2 linked regions of the Notamacropus eugenii genome follow. The protein of the gene in region 1 interacts with the protein of each later gene in a biochemical or structural test. Links are inferred from orthologs where the notes say so. Each region holds a gene or a part of one and is shown on either strand. Other genes may lie near its edges.

What was found.
Region 2: the proteins of TOR1A (region 1) and TOR1AIP1 form a complex in vitro, tested with the Homo sapiens proteins (2 studies listed by BioGRID and IntAct). The link is inferred for Notamacropus eugenii from reciprocal best matches to the Homo sapiens genes TOR1A and TOR1AIP1.

Annotation. Positions count from the first base shown.
Region 1 is NC_092872.1:481,389,661-481,400,778, reverse strand, and holds the start of TOR1A (torsin-1A), read left to right. Parts: upstream 1-5,634; 5' UTR 5,635-5,730; coding exon 5,731-5,911; intron 5,912-8,187; coding exon 8,188-8,453; intron 8,454-9,459; coding exon 9,460-9,635; intron 9,636-9,725; coding exon 9,726-9,853; intron 9,854-11,118. UniProt on the Homo sapiens protein: Protein with chaperone functions important for the control of protein folding, processing, stability and localization as well as for the reduction of misfolded protein aggregates.
Region 2 is NC_092873.1:465,739,857-465,750,863, reverse strand, and holds the start of TOR1AIP1 (torsin-1A-interacting protein 1), read left to right. Parts: upstream 1-5,729; 5' UTR 5,730-6,114; coding exon 6,115-7,054; intron 7,055-9,994; coding exon 9,995-10,072; intron 10,073-11,007. UniProt on the Homo sapiens protein: Required for nuclear membrane integrity. Induces TOR1A and TOR1B ATPase activity and is required for their location on the nuclear membrane. Binds to A- and B-type lamins. Possible role in membrane attachment and assembly of the nuclear lamina.

The sequences.
Region 1 (11,118 bases):
CCTCCACAAATTGAGGGATTATTCACTTTGCCTTTTGAGATGAACACATAGTAAGCATCTAATGAATGCTTTTTCATTCATTCATTAAACTAATAATATACTTACACTACCTACCTCATAGGCTCTGAGGAAAGTGCTTTTTGTTGTAAAATGCTATAGATTTGTGAGCTGTATTAGTAATTACAGGATTGTTGATGTGGAGCTCAAATAGATGTCATCTAATCCAACCCCCTCATTTTACAGATGAAGAGAGATACAGAAAAGGTCAATGATTTGCCCTAGGTCACAGGTAATAAGTGGCAGTGATGGAATTTGGACTCAGGTCTTCTTACTGCAAATGTAGTACTACTCCTTTATTGATTTGGCCTCCTGTAATCAGTTGTTGTCCCTATGAGAGAAAACATGGAGTGGCTGTAGAAATCAGCCCAGGCAGGGGCATGTGTTCCTAAAATCCCATGATCTGGTAATGCATTGAGGACTGACTTCCACTAAAGTCCTGCGCTGGTGCTCTATGTGACAAGGAGGTGATCCTGGCAGAATCTGTTAGCTGTAATGACTTTAAGTATGGTCACAGTGATGGACTATTCTACAAGCACCTGTAATTAGAGATAAATACAAAAAAGCAAGAACAGTCCCTGCCTTCAAGGAGCTAGCATTCTAAAAGGGGAAGTAGCACACAAAGAGGAGGCTTGCTAGGGAAGGTGGTTTTGGTCTGGAAATTCTCTGAGGTGTGTGTGGGGGGAGCAACATTTAATTGACATGCTCTTTCCAGAAACAGTGGTTCCAGAAACAGTTGATTTGAGGTAGTATTGATTTGATTCAAGTTTGCAGAAGAAATGGAAAGGGTAGTGATGGGTTAGGGAAGATGGCTGGATGAGAGCATGAGAAAACATGAACTATTGTAAACTGAAGTTAACAGAACCAGGAAAATTGTTTATAAAGCATCAAATGATGTAAATGGAAATAACAATGGAAACCATCAAATTATGATGACCAACCTTGAACCCAAAGAAGAGACAGAGGAAGGTACCTCCTATGCAGATGTGGAGGAATGTAGGTCTGGACACTGCATATATGTCAGATATTTTTAATGTGTTGCTTAGTTTTGTTAGACTCTGCTCCCCTCTTTTATTGTTATTAGCTCTTATATACTCTGCATCCTTATTCTAACTCCTACTTTCCCTCCCCAATGAAAACCAGTCCCCAGAGGGCAGGCTCCATCCCCCCTCTGGGTAATAGGATACCCCTGAGGAGTAGAAAATGCCTTTAATATTATTGGCTCAACCCCTCGTTATAACATGTTCCCCAGTTAGTATCTCCCCCATTTATTGCCCCAGTGATGAGCATCCCAATACTATTTAACCAATTAATATCAGTTAGCTTTTACCAAAGGATGTTTGTTGAGAAGATATATTGGTCAGAAATACAAACATCCCCTCCACGCTGGGGTTCATGCTACTTCAGTCCCCGAGGAGAGTGGGCTCCAGCTTATAGCCACCGTCAGGAAACATTTGTCCCAGCAAGTCTGCTTATGAATGTGGCCTGGAATGTGTACTGGAAAAGTTGCCCCTTGATGAGTTTGCTACACCTAGTCCAGCAGTTCACTGCTCACAGCAGTGCTGATGCCTCTCCACTCTGCTGCTGTTGCTGATGAAAATGACACACTTTGGGATGGACTCCAGATCCTGGGCCACTTGTGACTCCCCTAATCTTTCAAAGCTTATAGGGTCACAGTGTGGTTCATTTCTAACATGTCACCTAAAAGTAGGAAAGAATCAACAAATAGACAGAAAGAAAAAGACATCATATGTTCCGAGCCATATGTAGGACCTGTTTGTTGGCCCTGGTACTTCTTCTCACACCTAGAGGCTTAACAGCAGGTATTGCCTTGCTCACCACAAGGAAAGAAAAACTAGGGAAGCCAGCTGATGCAGCCAACCAAAAAGCCTTTTCTTCACTGCAAAGTAAACAAGCATAAAATGACAGGATATGCTTAGTAGTAGAGTAGTCCCCTCCATTCTTTCTTAGCTGACATTGAGAAGCAGGTTTACCAAACAGGCAATTAATCTCAGTCAGGAGAATGACCTCTCTTTGGACAGGGTCCTATCACAATTATGCGGGAAACTTTTCTGCAAGACAAGAGAAAGGGAACATTGGGAAAGAATAGGTGATGTGAAAAAAAATGATATAAATAAAACTTTATTCTAAAAAAAAAAACAGAATATAAACTTCTTGAGGGTGATAGTTATATTGATTTTTGTATGTGTGAGCCCTAGCCCTGGCATTCATAAGCCAAGTATTCCTAAGTGGTAGACTTAGGACATGGTAGACTTCCTCCCAACAACCCCATGTATTTCACTATCCAGGGACATCAACTTCCTTGTTCTTCCTTGAATGAAATATTACATCTGAGCAAGCATTTCCTTTGGCTGCTTCCATGCCTGGAATGCTCCCCTTCCTCATCACTCCCTGGCTCAAGTCCTAGCTAAAACCCCACCCACATGAAGCCTTCCCAAATCCCTCAATTCTAGTGCCTTCCCCCCATTGATTATCTAAAATTTATCCTGTATATATCTTGTTTCTACATGGTTTTACATGTTTTTCCTTTTAGATTGTGCTCCTTGAGGGCAGACACTTTGCCTTTCTTTGTATCCCTAGCTTTTGGCACAGTGCCTAGCACATAAGAGGCACTTAATAAATGTTTTTTGACTGATGGCTGATTCACTGACAAGTATGCCTATCTTCATTGGTAGAGAGTTCTGTATACAAATGAAATGATAGATTATAGATTTATATATAGGTATAATTTCTGTCATAGATAAAGTAAAAAAAATATATTTTGTACACATCTATGGAATAGTGATTTCAGTCTATCAAATGTCAATGAAAGATCATCAAGGGCAGATTTTCATTTTTATCTTTGTATTTCTAATATTTAACCTAACACATAGTAGGCAGTCCAGTTGTATTCAGTTTTGTGGCATATTTGCAGTGGTCTGCTAGACCTCGGCCATGTGATTTGCCTTCTGTGCTTCCTTCCTTCCTGCGTGTTCTCAAGTCACAACTTCCCTATCTATAAAATAAAGAGGTTGAACACGAGGTGGGCTCTTTATGATCTTAGGATTTGCCAAATGACTAGTGAATTCTGATAGTAGAATTGAACAGACTAACCAAGGCCCTTTTACTGCCTTATTGAGGAGAAGTGTTTTCTAGTTGCAACAAGTCTCTTTATGGAGAATTTGGTTGTGGCAGACTCTAGTACCAGTGGGCAGTACAAACACATCTAGTCTGCCTTTCCTGTGAAGAATCACAGAACCTCAGACCTATAAGGGTTCTTGGAGGCCAACTCCCTCATTTTACAGAAGGGGAAACCAAGTCCCATTGAAGTTAAGGTGATGTATAGTGAGAAAAGCATTTACCTTGAAATCAGATAATTCATTCAGACAGAGAGATAACTTTTAGAAGAGCCATCAGCAAGGCTGCCCAAGGAAGACCCCAAGTTCAGTTCAAACTTGTATTAGTAGGTCAGATGGTAATAAGAAAAAAGCCACATTTGGAAAATGTCACTTGACTGGTGAATTTGAGAAGGATGTGGTCACCTTGGATGTTGAGGTCCTTCCCCTTGTTTTCCATGCTAACAGTAGTCCTATTAAATTCAATGTTTAGGATACAGTTAACCAAGAGAAATTTGGTGGTCTGAGAAGGATTATTACATCCAAACTCAGGGCACAATTTTAATGTTCGATGTAACACTGGGAGTTGCTTACAAGAAAGAGCCTAACTACCCTAGAAATCTGATACAAGCATTAGAAAATATCCCTATCAGTTGTGTGACAACAAAGTGAATATTAAGGACAAAAAAGCCAAGACAAAATCCATTGTCTTCTACAGGAAGAAAACAGTCTCCAGTATGAAAGCTCACTGGTTCTGGAGACCAAAGGCCTGGGTTAAATCTACCCTCTATAGTTTACCACCTGTACAACCTTAGGCAAGTCATTTAACCTCCTGGGCCTCAGTTTCCTCATCTGTAAAATGGAAAAAGTGGACTAGATGGTCGCAGGCTCTCAGAATCTTGACACATCAAGATACCCTGGAAAGGTCGAATTCCTAATGTGTGGTCCTTAGAACCCTGGGGTGTCTGAGACCTTTTCAGGGGGTGCCTGAGATCAAAATTATTTTCCTAAAAATACTAAGATATTACTTGCCTATTTAAATACTCCTCCCTTTTCCAACTACACACAGTTGGTCCTATTCATATATTCAGTCAAAACTGTATCACAATATACAATGCAGAAGCAGATAGGAAAATCAGGTGTCTTCCATTAAGTCAAAATTTGAAAAGATTTGTAAAGCAATGCTTTCTCACTAATTCATTGTTTTGGAAAATAGGGTTATTTTTTGTAAAACATTCATGTTCACTTGTGATACATTGTCATTTTTAAATGAATTAATAAATGAATATTTTAAAATTGTATCAAGTTTTAAGTTGTAGGAAGGGAACAAACATTTATTAAGTACTTATGTATATATATATATATATATGTGTGTGTATGTATTTACGTATATGTATATATATGTATATATACATTGCTGATCTGGAAATTTGGTTAAAGGAGGCAAACAGGGTAGGTGATATGTTAATGCATATTGTTTATTCACTTTGAGCTAGTCTAAACTAGAACTTGTACAAAGAGACAAAATATAAGTTCTGACTGACTGATACAAGAGTGACAAGGCTTAAATCTGTTTTAGGACAATCCCAGGATATCTGTGTCCCTCCCTCAGAATTACATTCTATGTGTTTATACCATGAGAAAGGAATTTTCTTAATTGAATAAGTTGTAAATACAATAAGAGAGTTGACAAAGTGCCAGTTGAAATTATGACCCAGGATATCTGTGTTTTCTTTACTATTAACATGTTATAACATTTAAATGTCCACAAAATACTAAGATACAGAAAAAAGATACTGTGTCCGATTAAGGGTCACATCCTTAAACAGAGGAAAAAGGAAAAGCCCCCTCTAGCCTTGTTGACATAGGAAGAGGTATTCTCTGAGTTTACTCAGAGAATAAAGAGGTTGTTTGGGCCAGGCTCTTCTTCTGATTGATTAATTCAGGTTCTAGCCCTTATTAAAGTCCAAAAATGATATTAAATGATTATTAACATACATACACATGTATATGTGTGCCAGGAACTGCAAGTGCTTTACAGATGCTATCTCATTTGATCCTCACAACAACCTTGGGGGGAGGGGCTATTATTCTTATTTTAGTTGAAGAAACTAAGGCAGACAGATGAATATGACTTGCCCAAGGTCATACAGCCGAATTTGAACTTACGTCTAACTGGCCTAGCAGCTCTATCCACTATCCACTCTGTCCACCTATATGGACAAAGATAACTCCTGTAAAGGAAAGTTTTTTGAGGTCCTCAATAATTTTCAAGAGTGTAAAATGGTCCTGAGACTAAAAAGTCTGGAATCAGAGTCTTAAGCAGTTGGAGGGGAGGGAGGAGGCCGGCTCTTTGCCCCACTCCAAGATGGCCGGCTCCGGCTTCGCTGCCCGTCCTCGGAGGCGGCGCGGGAAGTGTTTTCCCCTCACAAAGATGGCGGCGGGCGGTAGAGGAGGGGCGGAGCCGGAAGCGGCGGCGGCGGCCTGTCATCTTCACCGGCCGAAGCCGTGGCCGGGAAGGCGGGCTCGGTGTGGCTCGGCTCCGTGCGGTCCGGGCATGAAGCTGGTCCGGGCCGCCCTGGGCCTGCTGCTGCTGGCGCCGCCCTTGGTGCGGGCCGTGGAGCCCATCAGCCTGGGGCTGGCCCTGGCCGGCGTGCTCACCGGCTACATCTCCTACCCGCGCCTCTACTGCCTCTTCACCGAGTGCTGCAGCCAGAAGCGGAGCCTCAGCCGCGAGGGTAGGGCCGGGGCCGGGCCGGGGGCCGGGGCCGGGCCGGGGGCAGGGAGGGCGGCCCCGTCCTCTCGCGAGTCTCAGTTTCTCCATCAGTACAGTGGGGCGATGAGCACCTCCGGACCCTGGGTGCTCCCCGGAAGCTGGAGGCCAGGAGTGTGGAGAGACCCGCTCTGAGATGTGGGGAGAAGCGGGGGTCCTGGGGGGACTTTGGGGGTCGTGAGGGCCAACCCCGTCATTTCGCCGGCCCTTTAGAGAGGACGAGCAGCCTGCCCAGGGTTCCACAAGTGGGTCCGCGTCGAGTGAGGCCCCGGGGTTGGGGAGTGTCCGCCCAGCTCACTGCCCTCGACCGCCCCGGAGGCACGTGCTGGTGCGGAGGGAAGGGGTGGCCTGAGGTGTCTGGGACTGGACTCCAACTCCGAGCTTGACCGCTCCAAGCCGCGGACTCTCCACAGCGCCCCCTGGCTGCGACAGAAACCGTGCGGATAAAAACAGAATTGAGAGGGCCCCTGCCCCTCTAGAGCTGCCTTTCTTACTGGGATGGTGGTGACTAGGGCAGGGAGTTTGGGTAAGATGGTGGGTGGAACAATAATAGCACAGTTGGTCGCCATCTCCCATCTCCAGACCTTTGCCCTATTCCTGGAGCACCTCCTTTTCCTCATAGGGCCCCTCTCTTCCTTTCAGATGCAGTTCAGTTGTTTGCTTCTACTTGAAGCTTTTCCTGATTCCTCAAATTCTAGGGGCCTCCTTTCTCAAACTACTGTTTAACTACTTTGTATTTATTCTTTTTATGTTTGTTCCATATACACTTATATGACCTTGTTGTCTCTCCAGTTAAAATGTAAACTCCCCCTGAGTCGGCATTGCTGTTTTGTGTTTTCGTATGCCCAGTACCTAGCATTGGGCCTGGCATGATGCTTGCTTGGCAAATCCTTTCCAGAAAAAAAGGGTAGTATTGATTTGATTATAGTTGCTAAAGGGGAGGAGAAGGAGTTGCTGGGTTAGGTTAAAGAGGAAGACGCTTGAGTGAGATTGCATGCCTTGTCCAGTTTGACAGGCTTGGGCCCATGCTCCTAATTGGTGAGAACCAACCATAATTAACTGGCCCAAGACTTGGCCATGCTTCTTGGCAGAGGTCACCACGTGGAGAGGCAAGAATGAGTTTAGTGGATAAAAGTTAGGCTTGGAGTCAGAAAGAGCCAGGTTCAAGTCCTGTATGACCCTGGGTAAGTCACTTAAGTGTCCCCAGAAAATTATATGGATGAATAACCAGAGAGTTGTCCATCTGTATTGATGAAGGGAGTTTCTGCAACAAACTTTCCCTCTTATAGATGAAATCACAGGTCTGGATCAGAAGAAAAAGAGAGAAAACCCTCACCTCATAGTATTGTCAGTAAAACACTTTGTAATCCAGAATTTTGAGCCATTATTAAAATAGCAAAGTTAGAATTAAAACCCAGGGTGCCTGACTCTGAAGTCCAGTGGTCTTTCCATTGTATTGTATTTCCTCAAGGATGGAGATCATAGAAAAGTAAAACTTGGAGATTGGGGAGGGAGGGAGGGAGAGGGGATAAGGAGTGGTGGTATCTGGTAAGGACAAGGGAGAACATTTTGGGTGCCATGGAAAGAGTAGTGGGGGCTCCCTGGGTAAGTGCAGAGATTTTGTGGGGAAGAGGTTGGAAGTTGAGATAGGGAGCTGCTTGCTGCCTCCAACAAAAAATGGAGTTTGTAGACCCTGCTTCAGCCTTCTTTGCAAGAGAAAATAGAATACTTTTGTAATTGAATCTTCTTAAAAGTATATTCTTCATTGAGAAGAGGAGAGATATTGAAAGAGGGAGTCTTGTCTCCCTCAGTTGTACAGGTGGTGGTTGAATCTACATGAGCCCCATTTTCCTCCTTTCCCAAGATAGGAAGCCATAAAGTAAGGTTAGATTTGGCTACTTAATTCTTAGATGTGATGTAGACACTGAAGAGGCAGAGGCCTTTCTGCCAAACTGATGGACAGTTTTTGTTCCTGTTTGAAAAAGCTGGAAGATGATGTGTCGTTGGCATAGGTGGGGCCCAGGAAGTTTGCAGCAAGGAAGAAATAGCAAGGGTTTGGGGGAGGGGGAGTCCTCCACAGAATTTCTTTGGGGCTGAAGAGTCAGGTTATTTTAGTCAACTGCTAGTTATAGCTGGTTAGCATCCCAGAAGATCTGAACCAATCCTTAGCTGGTAGTATGTTTTATCTAGTCTGCCAACCAGTTTTTTACTTGTATATGACAACTTTTGTTTTTTCCTCAGCATTACAGAAGGACCTTGACAGCAAGCTCTTTGGACAGCACCTTGCAAAGAAAGTGATATTAAATGCTGTGTCCGGGTTCATAAGTAACCCAAAGTCCAAGAAACCTCTCACCCTCTCCCTGCATGGATGGACTGGCACAGGGAAAAATTTTGTCAGCAAAATCATAGCTGAGCATATTTATGAGGGTGGACTTAACAGTGATTATGTGCACCTATTTGTGGCCACATTGCACTTTCCACATGCTGGGAACATCGTACAATATAAGGCAAGAAGATAATCTGGAATCTTTCCCAGCTGCACAGGGGTTGGGCTTTGTTTGATGTTTTTGTGTGGGTGATGATGAAGTTTATGGGATAATATGCTAAACAAATGAATGATCTTTGAGAATTTCTTTCTGGATGTCCCTTTTGTATTATATTTTGCACCTTTGTAAAGGGTTATACAGCATTTGGGAGGCAGATGTGTTTGATGCACAAGAGCAGTTCAGCTGTTAGAGCTTTTTAATGCTTCCTTTGTAATGTCCATAGTGCTGAATTCGTGAGATCGACATTCAGGAATCAAATGGGACACTGGAAGTGCCTGGCCTTTGGGAGGGAAGAGAAGTCTCATTTTCCATATGAGGAAGTTGAGACCCAGAGAGGGCAAGTTATTTATTCAAGCTCACATAGCTAGTTAGTTGCAGAGCTAGCCGAGAACTCACATTTTCTGCCAGTGTAGCCCTTCTTCGTGTCGTACCATTTCTATAACCTATCTGTTTGATTTCACTTTGCCTTAGCAAAAGTATTTGGGAAGGGTTTTTTTGAGAATGGGTAAGAATACTTAAATTTGCTTTTCTTCATTATTTCTTTTACTGGTGTAGATATACTATTCTGAGGTCATAAGCTACTTTTAGTTCATTAGATTATTTTTAATTGTGCTTTATTTTCTTTTATAATCAGTACTATTCAACTAGAACCTAAAATGATTTCTTTTCAGATAATCAATAACATTTTTTCCAATAATCAGTTATCTGGAAAGATAATCAATAGATGGTAACATGCTATAACTCAGTAACCCATATCCTTCTCATTAGACTATAAAGGATAATTTTCTTTCCTATTTCTTCTCTAATTATGACAAAAGATAAAAAAAGAAAAAAGATTGGCATGACATTAAAGTGATATCATTAAAAGAAGGATTCCTTAGGCATTTTAGCTATTTCCAGGGTAACATTCTTCTACATTATTCTTACTGAAGTCTCCCCTGGGTATTTTTGGTTTGTTATAATCCAGGACCAGTTACAGTTGTGGATTCGGGGGAATGTGAGTGCCTGTGCAAGGTCCATCTTTATATTTGATGAAATGGATAAGATGCATGCAGGGCTTATAGATGCTATCAAGCCATTCCTAGACTACTATGACTTGATAGATGGCATCTCCTATCAGAAAGCCATCTTCATCTTTCTCAGGTAAGATGGGATTTGGAAAGAATGAAGGATTCTGGGCTGTCTTCACAGCAACTAAGGCAGCAAGTCCTTATTTTTGTACACATCTCATAGCAATGCAGGAGCTGAAAGAATAACAGATGTGGCTTTAGATTTCTGGAGGAGTGGAAAGCAGAGAGAGGAAATCAAGCTGAAAGATGTGGAGCAGGCGTTGTCTGTGTCAGTCTTCAACAACAGGAATAGTAAGTAGTACTCTGGGTGTGTGTGTGTGTAACTCAGTGTTTTGTGTAAATGGGTTGGGGAAGGGGCTTTGTGATCTTCCAGTCCTCCTCTCTTCTGGGTCTGGAATGTTTGATACCTTAGCCTGCACATTTGGAAATGTTCATAGTTTTTATTCTCTTTTTAAAAAATTTTTTTGTTATATTTTAAGTTCTGAACTGTTTCCCTCCCTCCTTCCTTCCCCACCCTGCCCTTGAGAAGGCCACCATTTGACACATCGACATATACATGCATATAAAACCATACTGTGTCCTTCCATTTATCTTCTCTTTCTCAGGAGTTGGGTAGCATCTTCCTCATACTCCTTTGTAGTTGATTTGAATATTTATATACTCAGAATAGCTTATTTTTTCAGTTATTATTAAACAATGTCGCTGTCATTGTACGCAACATTCTCTTGGTTCTGCTTATTTCATTCTTTATTATTTCTGGCAAGTCTTTCCACATTATTCTAAAATCAACCTGTTCATCATTTCTTACAGCATAGTAGTATTCCATCACAGTCGTATACCACAATTTGTTTAGCCATTCTCCAACTAATGAGCATTCCCCCATTTCCAGTTCTTTGCTACCACAAAGAGAGCTCCTATAAATATTTTAGAACAATTTTCATAGTTTTTCTATTTTCTTGTTTTAAATCTTTTCTTTCCATTGGGGAAGGAAAGGAATTCTACTGGGCTGCAACAGCTATGATGAGTTGGAGATGTGGATTTCTTCATATTCCTAACTTTAACTTTTTAGGATCTGATCAATCAGGTTCTATCCCTTGGTTTTTTAACTTTTATTTTTAAAAAATAACAAGCACTTATTTTCTCTCCCTCCTAGTGCGTACTCTTCAACCGAAAATAACAACAGCAAAAAAGAAACAAAAACAAAACTTGGTAACAAATAAGCGTGATCAGGCAAAACACATTCCTACATTGGCCATGTCCAAAAATGTCTGCTTCATTCTGTGCCGAGTCCTTCACCACCCCCCTGTCAGTGAGTGGATAGCAGACTTCATCATTAGCCCTATGCAACCAGGATTGGTCATTGCATTTTTCAGAGTCCTTAAGACTTTCCAAGTTGTTTGTCTTTACAGTGCTGTTGTTTTGGTATAGATTGTTTCCCTGGTCTCCTCAGTTCACTCTGTGTCAAATTATATGAGACTTCCCAGGTTTCTGTGAAACCAGTCACTTTGGCATTTAATATGGCACAATATCATTTCATTATATTCATATACCATTAT
Region 2 (11,007 bases), on another chromosome or scaffold:
CTTTAACTACTTTCCAACCTATGAAGTAAGGTACTCTAAATTATTCTGGTCACTTTAAATATGCAGAATCACAGAATTTCAGAGCTGGAAGAGCCCAATGCAAACATGAAGAAAGCATCCCTCAAAAACCTCCAGTGAGGGCAGAATCCATTATATCCTGAACAAGCCCATTCCACTTTTGGACAGCTTGAATTATTAGGAAAAATTTCCCTTTTACTTTTTTTTATCCACTAATCCCAGTTCTTCCTCTGGAGCCAAGCAAAAGGAATATAACCTGCTTCCAGGTGACAATCTTTTAAATACTTTAACACAGCTATAACATTCCCCTCCTTGCTTACCCTCAAGTCTTCTCTTCTCCAGGATAAACAACCCCATTTCCTTCAACTGATTATCAAACTTACTAGGTAGTGGACCATTCAAGAAATGTACCCTTGAGAGCCTTCACCTCTAAATCCACAAAATGGGGATAATAACACCTGCACTGAACTACTCATGTCAGTCCTGTTGTGAAGAAAGCTCTTTGGGAACCTCAAAGCACTATACACACATTATTATAGTAACAACAACCAAGAACATATAACATTCATAAGAAAAGTGAGAGTATCTAGAAGGAAAAGATGATCAAAAATGTCTAGATCCTTCACAGAAATACAGGTAATAAGTAACTAGCATTGAAATTAATTAGGCTGTATTAGGCAATTTGATAGTCACTAGTATTTTTTGAGACAGCAATTCCAGTCAGACTGACTGGATCAGAAATTCAAATAACAAAAGTACAGGTAATTAAGGAACTTAAGGCATTGGGAATGAAGAACTTTTTCGAGCTGTCTTTTTCAACACAAAGCTAAGTTCCTTTTTGACAGGGTTAATAATTTGCTATGGGGGATGCTAGCAATATAGTTTACTTAATTGTAATAAAGTATTCAGTAAAGCATATCATGTTATTCATGTAAAATACATAAATAAAGGATTAACTACCCTGAAATTTAAAAAGAAGCACAAGGCTAAGACTAGCAGCGCAGTTCATCCTTCACTTAAAAGTTCAAACCTGCAACAAGAGATGTAAGAGATACCCTATTTAAAACAATCATGGAAAGAATAAAATACCTGAGATTACAGCTGCCAAGAGAAACCCAGAAACTATATGAACATGATTATAAAACATTTTTATGCAAATAAAGTTCAGATTTAAGTAACTGAAGAAATATTAATTGTTCAAGTGTGGTCAGAGCCAATATATGATCAATGCTGATTTATAGCATTTTTTCTTACGACTATAGTTCTAATTTCTTCCTCTGAAAACTACCTATTCATATCCTGTGACCATTTATCATTTGGAAAATGACTTGTATTCTTGTAAATTTGACTCAGTTCTCTATATATTTTAGAAATGAAGCCTTTATGAAAGATATTAATTGTAAAAATTCTTTCCCAATTTTCTGCTTCCCTCTTAACCTTGGTTGCATTGGCTTTGTTTGTGCAGAAACTTTTCAATTTAATGTAATCAAAATTATTCATTTTGCATTTCATAATGTTCTCTATCTCTTGTTTGGTCATAAATTCCTCCATTCACCATAAATCTAACAGATGAACTCTTCCTTGCTCCCCTAATTTGTTTATAGTATCAGCCTTTATACCTAAATCATGTACTCATTTGCACTTTATTTTGGTAGTGCTTTGTAAACTTTAAGGAGCTATGTAAATGTGATTGTAATTATTGTTTTAATTATTGGAGAGACCTAAGCATGTTTGTGATTCAGTCATCATCTGCCAAGTTGAAAATCTTCCCTTGCTATAGCATTCTCTATTCTCATTCCCATCAACCTCAACCATACACCTCTGCAATTCTGTTACTCTGTCTTCCCCTTTCCTTGTGCCCTCTGGAATCCTGCTCTGTTGTTGATAAATTCCTCTTCCTCTTAGATGGCTTCCTCTTAGTCTTTACAATTTCTTGGACTTAACAGAAACCTGGATCCCCATTCCTTCAGAAGATACTGCATCACCAGTCAGTCTCCACTGTTAAAAGTACTTAGTATCAGTCAACCAATAAGCATTTAAGTGTATATTTTGTGCCCCCCTCCACTGTGCTTGGCACTGGGTATGCAAAGAATGGGGGGGAAATCTCCCTTTCCCTCCAGGAACTTACAGTCTAATGGGGAGATAGTAACAAATAACTAACTACATACATAATCTATATAGAGCATATGGCATCAATGGGGGAAGCCATTCACATCTGGGAGTGGGGGCAGAGATGAGTCAGAGAAAAGCCTTCCACAGAAGGTGGGCTTTGAACTCAATCTTGAAGGAAGTCAAAAAAACTAAGAGGCAGAGATGATAGGAAAGAATATTCCAGGAGAGTGTAGAAGTCTTCTGAGCATGCAAAAATGAGAAAACTAGGGGAGGGACTTTTAGAGGAATGTACTGATTGAGATTGTGAGAGATGAAGAGACTCTTGGAGGGGTGGATGAAGTAGGAGAGGGACTTGAGAGGGAGAGAAGATAAGGTGACAGGGATAGGGTAAAAAGAGAGGCTAAGAAACAAAACTGAGTAAAAATAAGATGGAGAGAAATTCATAAACTAATTATAACTTTGAATGTGAATGGAATGTTTATAGAAGTTCTCTTTGCAGTGTCAAAGACTGGAAATTGAGGGGATGTCCATCTATTGGAGAATGGCTGGACAAATTGTGATATATGGTTGCAGTGGAATACTATAAGAAATGATGAGCTCAATGATCTTAGAAAGCATGGAAATACCTGTATGAAACGATGAAAAGTGAAATAAGCAGAACCAAGAGAACATTGTGGACAGTAACGGCAATATTGTTTTAAGAATGACTTCAAAAGACTAAGTCCCTTTCACTGTTATAAATCCAAAAATTAAAAAATAAAGGACATATGAAGACACTATCTACATCCAAAGAAAGAACAGATAGATATATAATCTACATATTATACACACACACACACACACACTCACACCCCTGTTTGTGTCTTAATAGTATCCATCTCTAAGATAGGGGAATGAGTGCCAGGCATGGTAACAAGAGATGGAACATCACGACCACAGAACTGCAAGGTCACTGTATCTAGATCACATTGTGTGTAGAATCAAGTAAAGTGTAAGATTTCAAAGGGGAAGAGGACAAATCACGAAGAGCTTTAAAAGTCAAACCAAAGTCTTTAATTTGATCTTGGAATAGGGAGCCACAGAACTCAATGTCAGTTAGGTCTTTAATTTAGAAAAAAACTACTCCAGTAGTGGAGTGGAGATAGGACAGAGTATGAACTGGAGTACTGGCTGTATGAGTAGAGAGAATGGGATGTATGAGAGATGTCACAGAGCTAGAAATGACAAGATTTGACAACAGACTGAATATGAGGGACAAGAGTGAGGAATAGCAAATGGCCAGGACAACAAGGTTTTGAATTTGAATGACTGGGGACAGGGTAGTGCCCCTCCACAGTAAAAAGGGAAGTTCAGAATGAAATTTAGTTCAGTGCTTTAAAAGATGAAATTTTTCTTCATGACATTCTAGGCACTTTACTAAGAAATATTTTAAAATTGTAATCAAACCACTCCTGGATTGACTGGTCACAAAAGCCACTGGGATCTGTAGTTCTCCCCAGTTTAAGAAGAAACTGGGGTTGCAGTCTTTCCCAATGGAGAATTACAAATTCTAGCCAAACCCTTATTAGGGGTTGTTATAGTAATTTTCAGAGATTGGTAACTGAAATGACAAAAGTTTATGCTGGTCTTAAGCTAATCTGACAGGAAGGAATCCCTTCTACAAACCTAAGAGATAAATTCTCCGGTAGGGTACACAAATTACATTGGCCCTGGAATCAGAGGCTTAGTGGCTCAAATCTCACCCCTGATTACCTGTAAACCTTCAAGTCACTTGATCTCTCTGGATCTGTTTCCCTATCTGTAAAATAAGGGGTTGGACTAGATGGCCTCTGAAGTCCTTTCCAGCTCTAAATGTATCTTCCCAATAGGGATGACATTCCTGAAGACAAACAACTTCTCTGTTGGACAGCTCTGACATTAAAACTTTTCTCTAGGTTAAGGTTTAAGGGGTTGCTGGGTGAAACACACATGTTGTTAGGCATCTGCAGCTTCTGCTGTCACCTCACAAACAGAGGAGGGGCCAGGATATAAGTAGTCCTCCCAGGTAGACCAAGGCCACAAACAAGCAAACTTCTGTCTAAAATTGTCTATGCTCTTTCTTTTTTAAAAGATTTCTTTGGGGAAACCACTCGAGCTATTTTTGGCAACGCATCAGTAAGTATAATAGTAGATGAACCCCTTCCTTTCTAGACCACACACACAAGAAATTAAAGAAATACCTTCCACAACAAAAAGAGCCCAAAGGTAAGTTTTTGATGTGTCTTATTATTTTTGCTTATATTAATCTACTGTTAAAAAATGAGGCCCTTGAGGGATCCTTTGACAATGTCTATTCAGTATATATAGCATTTGATTTATTGTAGACAGTATAATTTAATAATTTTACAGTTGACTATGTTAATAATATACTCTTTTTAGAAGTTTTCTAAAATACTAAATGCTAGTTACTTTATACTTTTAAATAACTTTAAAAGCAGTAAAAAACTTGTGGTCTCATGTACGTATCCCTTAGGCTCAAATAGACCACTTTCATTTTCCCTTCCCTGAATGCAATAAAAAGCAACAAAGAGCTATTTTTCTTAGTGTTCTTCCTTTTTTTATCTTTCACGTTCTGATTTTACTGGAGACCAGTGTTCATATCATATATGTAAAAAATGAGTTACTGATTTCTAAAAGCACTATTATGTCCCTGTATTATGTTACCTGATACAAAAAGTATCCTTAGCCAATGCTATAACAAGGGTCTATATTTTATTTATAATTAAAAACCACAGAAAGGCAAGACTGTATGTACTAATTCTTTATTTATGATCATTTGGACAAAGTTGAGATAATGAAGTTTTTTTTACCGAGAGTAGTTTAAACGAGATCCTAATAACTTTAAATTCCTTAAACTAATTTCAAAGCATACTCAAGTTGTCACCTATATAAAAACTGATACCCTAAACATCAATCCTTTTTTATTTATTCACTAAATCATATTCCCTGGACTCAAAGAGATATGATTATTAGACTAAAGCTAGTTACTGTATCCTTAAAATAGAATTTTTTTTTTAAAGACAAAAGGCTTTTCACCAATTATGACTACCGCACTCCAGTACTTCAGATTGGTTGTTAAATACGAGTATCCTCTAATGTGGATTGTTTACTACTATCTTGTTTCTACCTAGTTTTTAACATTTTGTATTCTAGTCTCTGGCACAGATCGGGTACTTAACAAGTGCTGGATTGAGAGTAAACTAAACTTGGGGATTGTACGATGAAATCTACAACAAATTTATGCCGCAGATTTAAAAAAAAAATACATGTAATTTACCAAGTCGCTAATGAAGTGGAAAACACTCGTCAATTTCAGTTGGAGGAATGTCAGTTTCTAAAAGGCTCATCTATGGAAGAGCTCCAAGGAATGTAAACAATTTCTTAATTTTAAGGTGAGGAACGGAGGCGCCGGCAGGACTACATGAAAGCAGCGGAACAAGCAGCCTTCCATCAGCTGCACCAAGCACCCCGATTTGCAAACGTTTCCTGCCCGTAATCCGCTGGTAAATTCTGTAAGCGTCAGAATCATTTTAGCATACGGTTGACGGACAAACTTTCTTTTCATTTCTTTCGTTACTCAAATGTTGCTTTTGGAAAACGACTAGGTCGTTCTTCGGGCAGAGATTTTCCCATCAAAACCGAGTGGCTTTTGCTTTCACTAAGTGACTAACATTTCACCGTGACTTCACAAGTTTTTTATTTTACTTTTTCAATTAACAAGGCTTTTTTTTTCTCCCGCTCCCACTCCTGATGTACGAGTGAGAGAGGGAGGGAAGGGGGGATCATTTCAGAGAGCGAAGACAAAAATGAGTCCCCGCAACATCTACCCCGGGAACTGTCAAGGTCTCCGACCGACCCTTGAACCTTTCACCAGAGTCAGGAAAGGGGTGACGGAGCCGGCTCGGGCGGACGGGGTCACGGTCGGCGCGGGCGCTTGGGCTACAGATGCGACAAAATGGTGGAGGAAGCGCGGGCCGCGCTGTCTCGGGCTCCCCGGATCACGGCCTCCCGGCGGGGAGGGCCCCGGGCGGGCGGCCGGGCCCACCCCGTGACGCTCGCCAGAGAGCCCGGGATGGCCGGCTCCTCGAGCCTCCCTCCCCGCCCCCCGGCGCAGGAGGGCCAGGCTCTCCCTTCTCCTCCTCTGGCGGGCCTGCAGCCAGGAGGGCGGGGGTGACACACACACACACCCAGCGGCAGCTGACCGAGCCGGGCACTGCCTGCCTCACAACCTTCGGGAGCTACCATGGGCCCAGAGGAGCCCGCACACCGCGGCGGCAACAGCAACAAGAGCGGCGGCGGCCGCGGCCCCGACGACTCCCAGCTGCCTCCCTGACGGGCGCCAAGCCCCCGCCGCCGCTCCGGAGAGGGACCCGGCCGGCCATCCTAGGCCCGCGAACCATGGCAGGCGAGGGATGGGCAGCGCACGTCACACCCAGGGCCCCGCTACGACAAGGGAGGCGCCCGCTCGGCCCTCAAGATGGCGGCGGAAGAGACGCGCTCGCGGACGGAAGCCCCATGGCTCGGCGCAGGGGCCGACGGGAAGTGAGGTTCTCCGAGCTCCCGCCCCAAGTGTACGGCGACTTCGAGCCGCTCGCGTCCGGGGGAAGTGCCCGGGTGGAAAAGCGGACCCAGGCACAAGAGTTCCGCCCCGTGCCCGGGAAAGAGGAAGTGGAGGAGAGAAGAGCCTACTATTACCTTAGACCTCGGCCGCCTTCTCTGCTCTCGGGCTTGGGACTCGGAGAGATGAATACGAGGAGAACGACCCGGCTCCAGCAGCAGGAGGCTCCGCCGCCGCCGCAGCCCTCGCCGGCCACCACGAGGAGAGGGCTGCGAGACCTGCAGCCCTCGGAAGGTGAGGGCGGCGGAGGCGGTGGCCGCCGCCGAGGTAACGGGCTGGGGAGGCGCGCGCGCCCCGGAGAGCGCGAGGTTTCCCGCCTCGGGCGGCCACGGCTCCGCGCCCCGCGGGGGGTCCTCTCCTCGCGCCCCCTCGCGAGGGACGGGCTCGTGGCTGGGACACCCTAAGGTGCGGGAGGAAATGGATCGGGAGCTGGCGGGACGGGCGGAGAACGCGGGCGGTCCCGGAGCCCCCCGCCCTCCACCGAGGAAGAAGGAAAGGGGGCAGCCCCCCAATAGCGGGAGGCAGGGCACTGTGTTGGGCATTCCCGGGGCTTTATCCGGGGCAGCAGCGTGCGCACGAGCGCGGGGTCCGGCCCCGATCATCCTCGGAGCGCAGGGTCCGGCGTTCGGGGTCAGCCCAGACTCCTGTAGGAGGTGGGGTCTTAGCCGGGACCTGGAGGGCAGAGGGCTCCTGCCGGAGCAGCCGAGGAAAAGGCGCAGGGAACCGGAGCGAATTCCTCTAGGAGAGCTTCCCGGCCCTGGGGAGGGGGCCGCCGGGGAGGAAGGGGGGGCCCGTGGCTGAGAAGGAAGAGGAGAAAGGAGAACCCACCGTAGTTAGGGAGCAGCCTGGCCCCAGGGGAGCTCGGGCCGGGAAGCCTCCGTTGAGTGAGAGGCGCCGTGCTCAGCGTGGGTATGGGGGACCCGGGGTGCACGTGTGTGTGTGTGTGTCTGTGTGTGTGTGTCTGTGTGTGTGTGTGTGTGTGTGTGTGTCTGTGTGTCTGTCTGTGTGTCTGTGTGTGTGTGTGTGTGTCTGTGTGTGTGTGTCTGTCTGTGTGTGTGTGTCTGTGTGTGTGTGTGTCTGTGTGTGTGTCTGTGTGTGTGTGTGTCTGTGTGTCTGTGTGTCTGTCTGTGTGTCTGTGTGTCTGTGTGTGTGTGTCTGTCTGTGTGTGTGTGTCTGTGTGTGTGTGTGTCTGTGTGTGTGACTGTGTGTGTGTCTGTGTGTGTGTCTGTGTGTGTGTGTGTGTGTGTGTGTGTCTGTGTGTATCTGTGTGTGTGTGTGTGTCTGTGTGTGTGTGTGTCTGTGTGTGTGTGTGTGTGTGTGTAGGGGAGGGGGCAGACACATAGGCACAAAGTCATGCAAAGGATGTGAGTCACTCTTGGGGTTTGAATTACCAGGTGATAGACGGGGTGACACGCACTGATGGTGTAAGAACAGCCCCTGCCATCGGGAAACAGCGTGCAAAATAAGAACATAGCACTGACACACATCAGTGTGCAGGGCCAGTTGGGAGTGAGCTCCGAGAGAAGTCACTGCGCATCGAGGGGAGGGGGCAGCGGAGGAGACTTGCACAAGATAGGGTTTGAACTTGAGTCTTGAAGGGAGCCAAGAAGCAGAGGGAGAAAAAACATCCCAGGAAGATGGAACAGCCAGGCACAGAGAGGAGGGAGGAGGGAGCCACCGAAGTTTACTGAGTAGGGGAATGACCAGTGCTTTGTGAAGATCGTTTTGGCAAACTGTTTAACCTCTGGGTCAGTCCGTTATTAAACATTTGTTAAGCACCTACAAAGTGTCCAGCAAAAAGAGGCAAAGAACAGCCCCTGCCCTCAAGGAGTTCACGGTCTAATGGAATCTCTGGGCCTCCATTTCAGATTCCTCCTAAGTAAAATGAAGACAAGCATGGGCCTTGTCTGCATCATGAGAGACAAAGGGAGGTAGTGGTTATCTATCCGGCTGACCTTGAAGCCTGGAAATTCAGATCCAGTTCCTTTCTCTGACAAAACTGACTTTGTCACCCTGGAAGTCATTAGCCTCTCAGCGCCCTAGGCAGCTGTCTGATACTGTAAGTTGCCAAGAAGGTAGAATGCTGCGGTGTTGCTAGAGGGAGTAGCCCCCTCCCCCAGTTCTGTGAAAATGGGTAAAATCCCAGGTCCCTTCTCTCATCTTATTATCTGTTAAAAGTGTTGGGAGTGAAGTTCATTAGTATTCTTTATTTGCATTTGATGACATTTGAAGGCACGTTGGTTTTAGAGACTTCACATTCACCCAAATTTCTATCATTATTGTACCTTTTGCATGTTTTCTCTAAAATATTTTATTAATTTTGTGGGTGTGGGTGTGTTCAGCAGGATCACACACTTAAAGGCAGGGCTGGGGTCCTGTCACCTTTTCTGGATCCCACTCCCAGCTCAAGCAACAGTCACTGAGAAAAGTAAAAGAATTACTATGTTCTCTACTCTTTAGTGGATCTTTCATCTCATGATCTTGAGCATATAGTTCTTCAGCACCACATTGCAGCCCATCCTTCCTTTCTCTTCTTGTACATATTTCCCTGTAGAGGGAAATACTGGTTTCACTTCTTCAGTACTATTTCTGCATACTTTGCTAGTAAACCTGAATATATGGAAATAATTTCCCTTTCTGACTCCTTTCATATGTCTTCACCACTACCTGCAGTGTTTCTGACTTTGTAAATTCCAAGTTTTTTTTTTTAACCTTAGTGCAGTTAAAATCTGCTAAGTGCAATATGTGCAAAGAACTGTGCTAGGTGCTAAAAAGAGTATAAGTGAGTAAATTCTTCTAGTTTGTGGCCTTGTAGGAGACACTTAGAGAAGTAGCTTTAAAACATTAACATTAAAATGTTTAAAATTTAAACATAAGTACAGGAGATATTGTGTTCAATAGTTATTTATTCAACTAGCTACTATGTGCAAGGCACTTAAATGCTAGGAATACATGAAAAATTATAGTTTTTCTCCCCAAAGAGGAGGATGAGACATGACAAATATGATACAGTGTGGAATGTGATAGAGCAAGATACAGATCAGATTTTGTTTAGAAGAAAAAAAAAACATGTTGAGGAGAGAGCACTGCTTCCAGAGCAAGGATTAGGCTTCCTTAAAGAGGTGGCCCTTGAACTGAATAGGGTGTTATGGGGTTTTTCCCCCTATACATTCTCACTTTTAACTGTTAACATGTTTTGTTCTTTAGAGGATGAACCATCTTCCCAAACCATCATAAGCCAGACAATCTCAAAGAAATCAGTCAGGAGAGTACAAGAGATACCAGGTAAGAAACATCACTTTCCTTTCTTATCCTTCTTTGCTGTCCTTTGCCATCTGACTACATCAAGTCTCTTAAAAGTTTAGAACATGTTTGATTTCTGGCTTGACATGCTCTCCAGCTTAACAGTGTCCTTCCTGAACTATGGCACCCAGAAAACTGTATTCCGGATAGATTCTGACTGTATTTATGATGCCTTGCAATTTGTACTGTAGCCATCTTCCTATTTTGTTGTTAAGTGTATTTTGAAAAAAAACTCACCAATATTTTTCCTGCTTCCTGATGATGCTAACAAAGAAGATCCCACTAGGCCAATGGGATGTCATCAATGATGAACTAGACAGAGAAAGTGAAAGTTGTAAATGGAGTGAGATAATGAAAGAAGGCCAAGTTATATGTGTTGAGTTGGAGGATTTCACATAGACCCTCTGCTGACTTTTTAAAATAAAAGCTTTGATATATCTGGTCTTGTTAGTAGGTTAATATTTGACAAAATCGATGCAATTTTAAGTTTATCCTATAGTGGAGACAGCTCAAGTCCTACCAAAATAGAGACGGCCAGTTATTAAGACTATAGATTGTTAAACTTGACCAGTGGGTGACTGAAATACTTTACAGAATGGTTACAAAAAAACAAATTCTCCTTTCAAGTCTGACCAAATGTATTGATCCCTACATATAAAGCACTTTGCAAAACTTAAAACACTATATAAATGTTAGCTTTTAGTCAATTATTATTATAAGTGGGAGTTTGAAGAAGAACTAGAATGACAACTGCCACTTCAGGTACCCAGTAAGGACTGATGACTGACTGACAGAGTGAAGCATGATGTGAGGATGATACACACTTTGTTATCTTCTTGAAAGATGCGGCTTTATTGAACATAGCAGAACTGTATCATCAACAAGAGCAGCTAGTTCCCACATCGGCTAATATGATG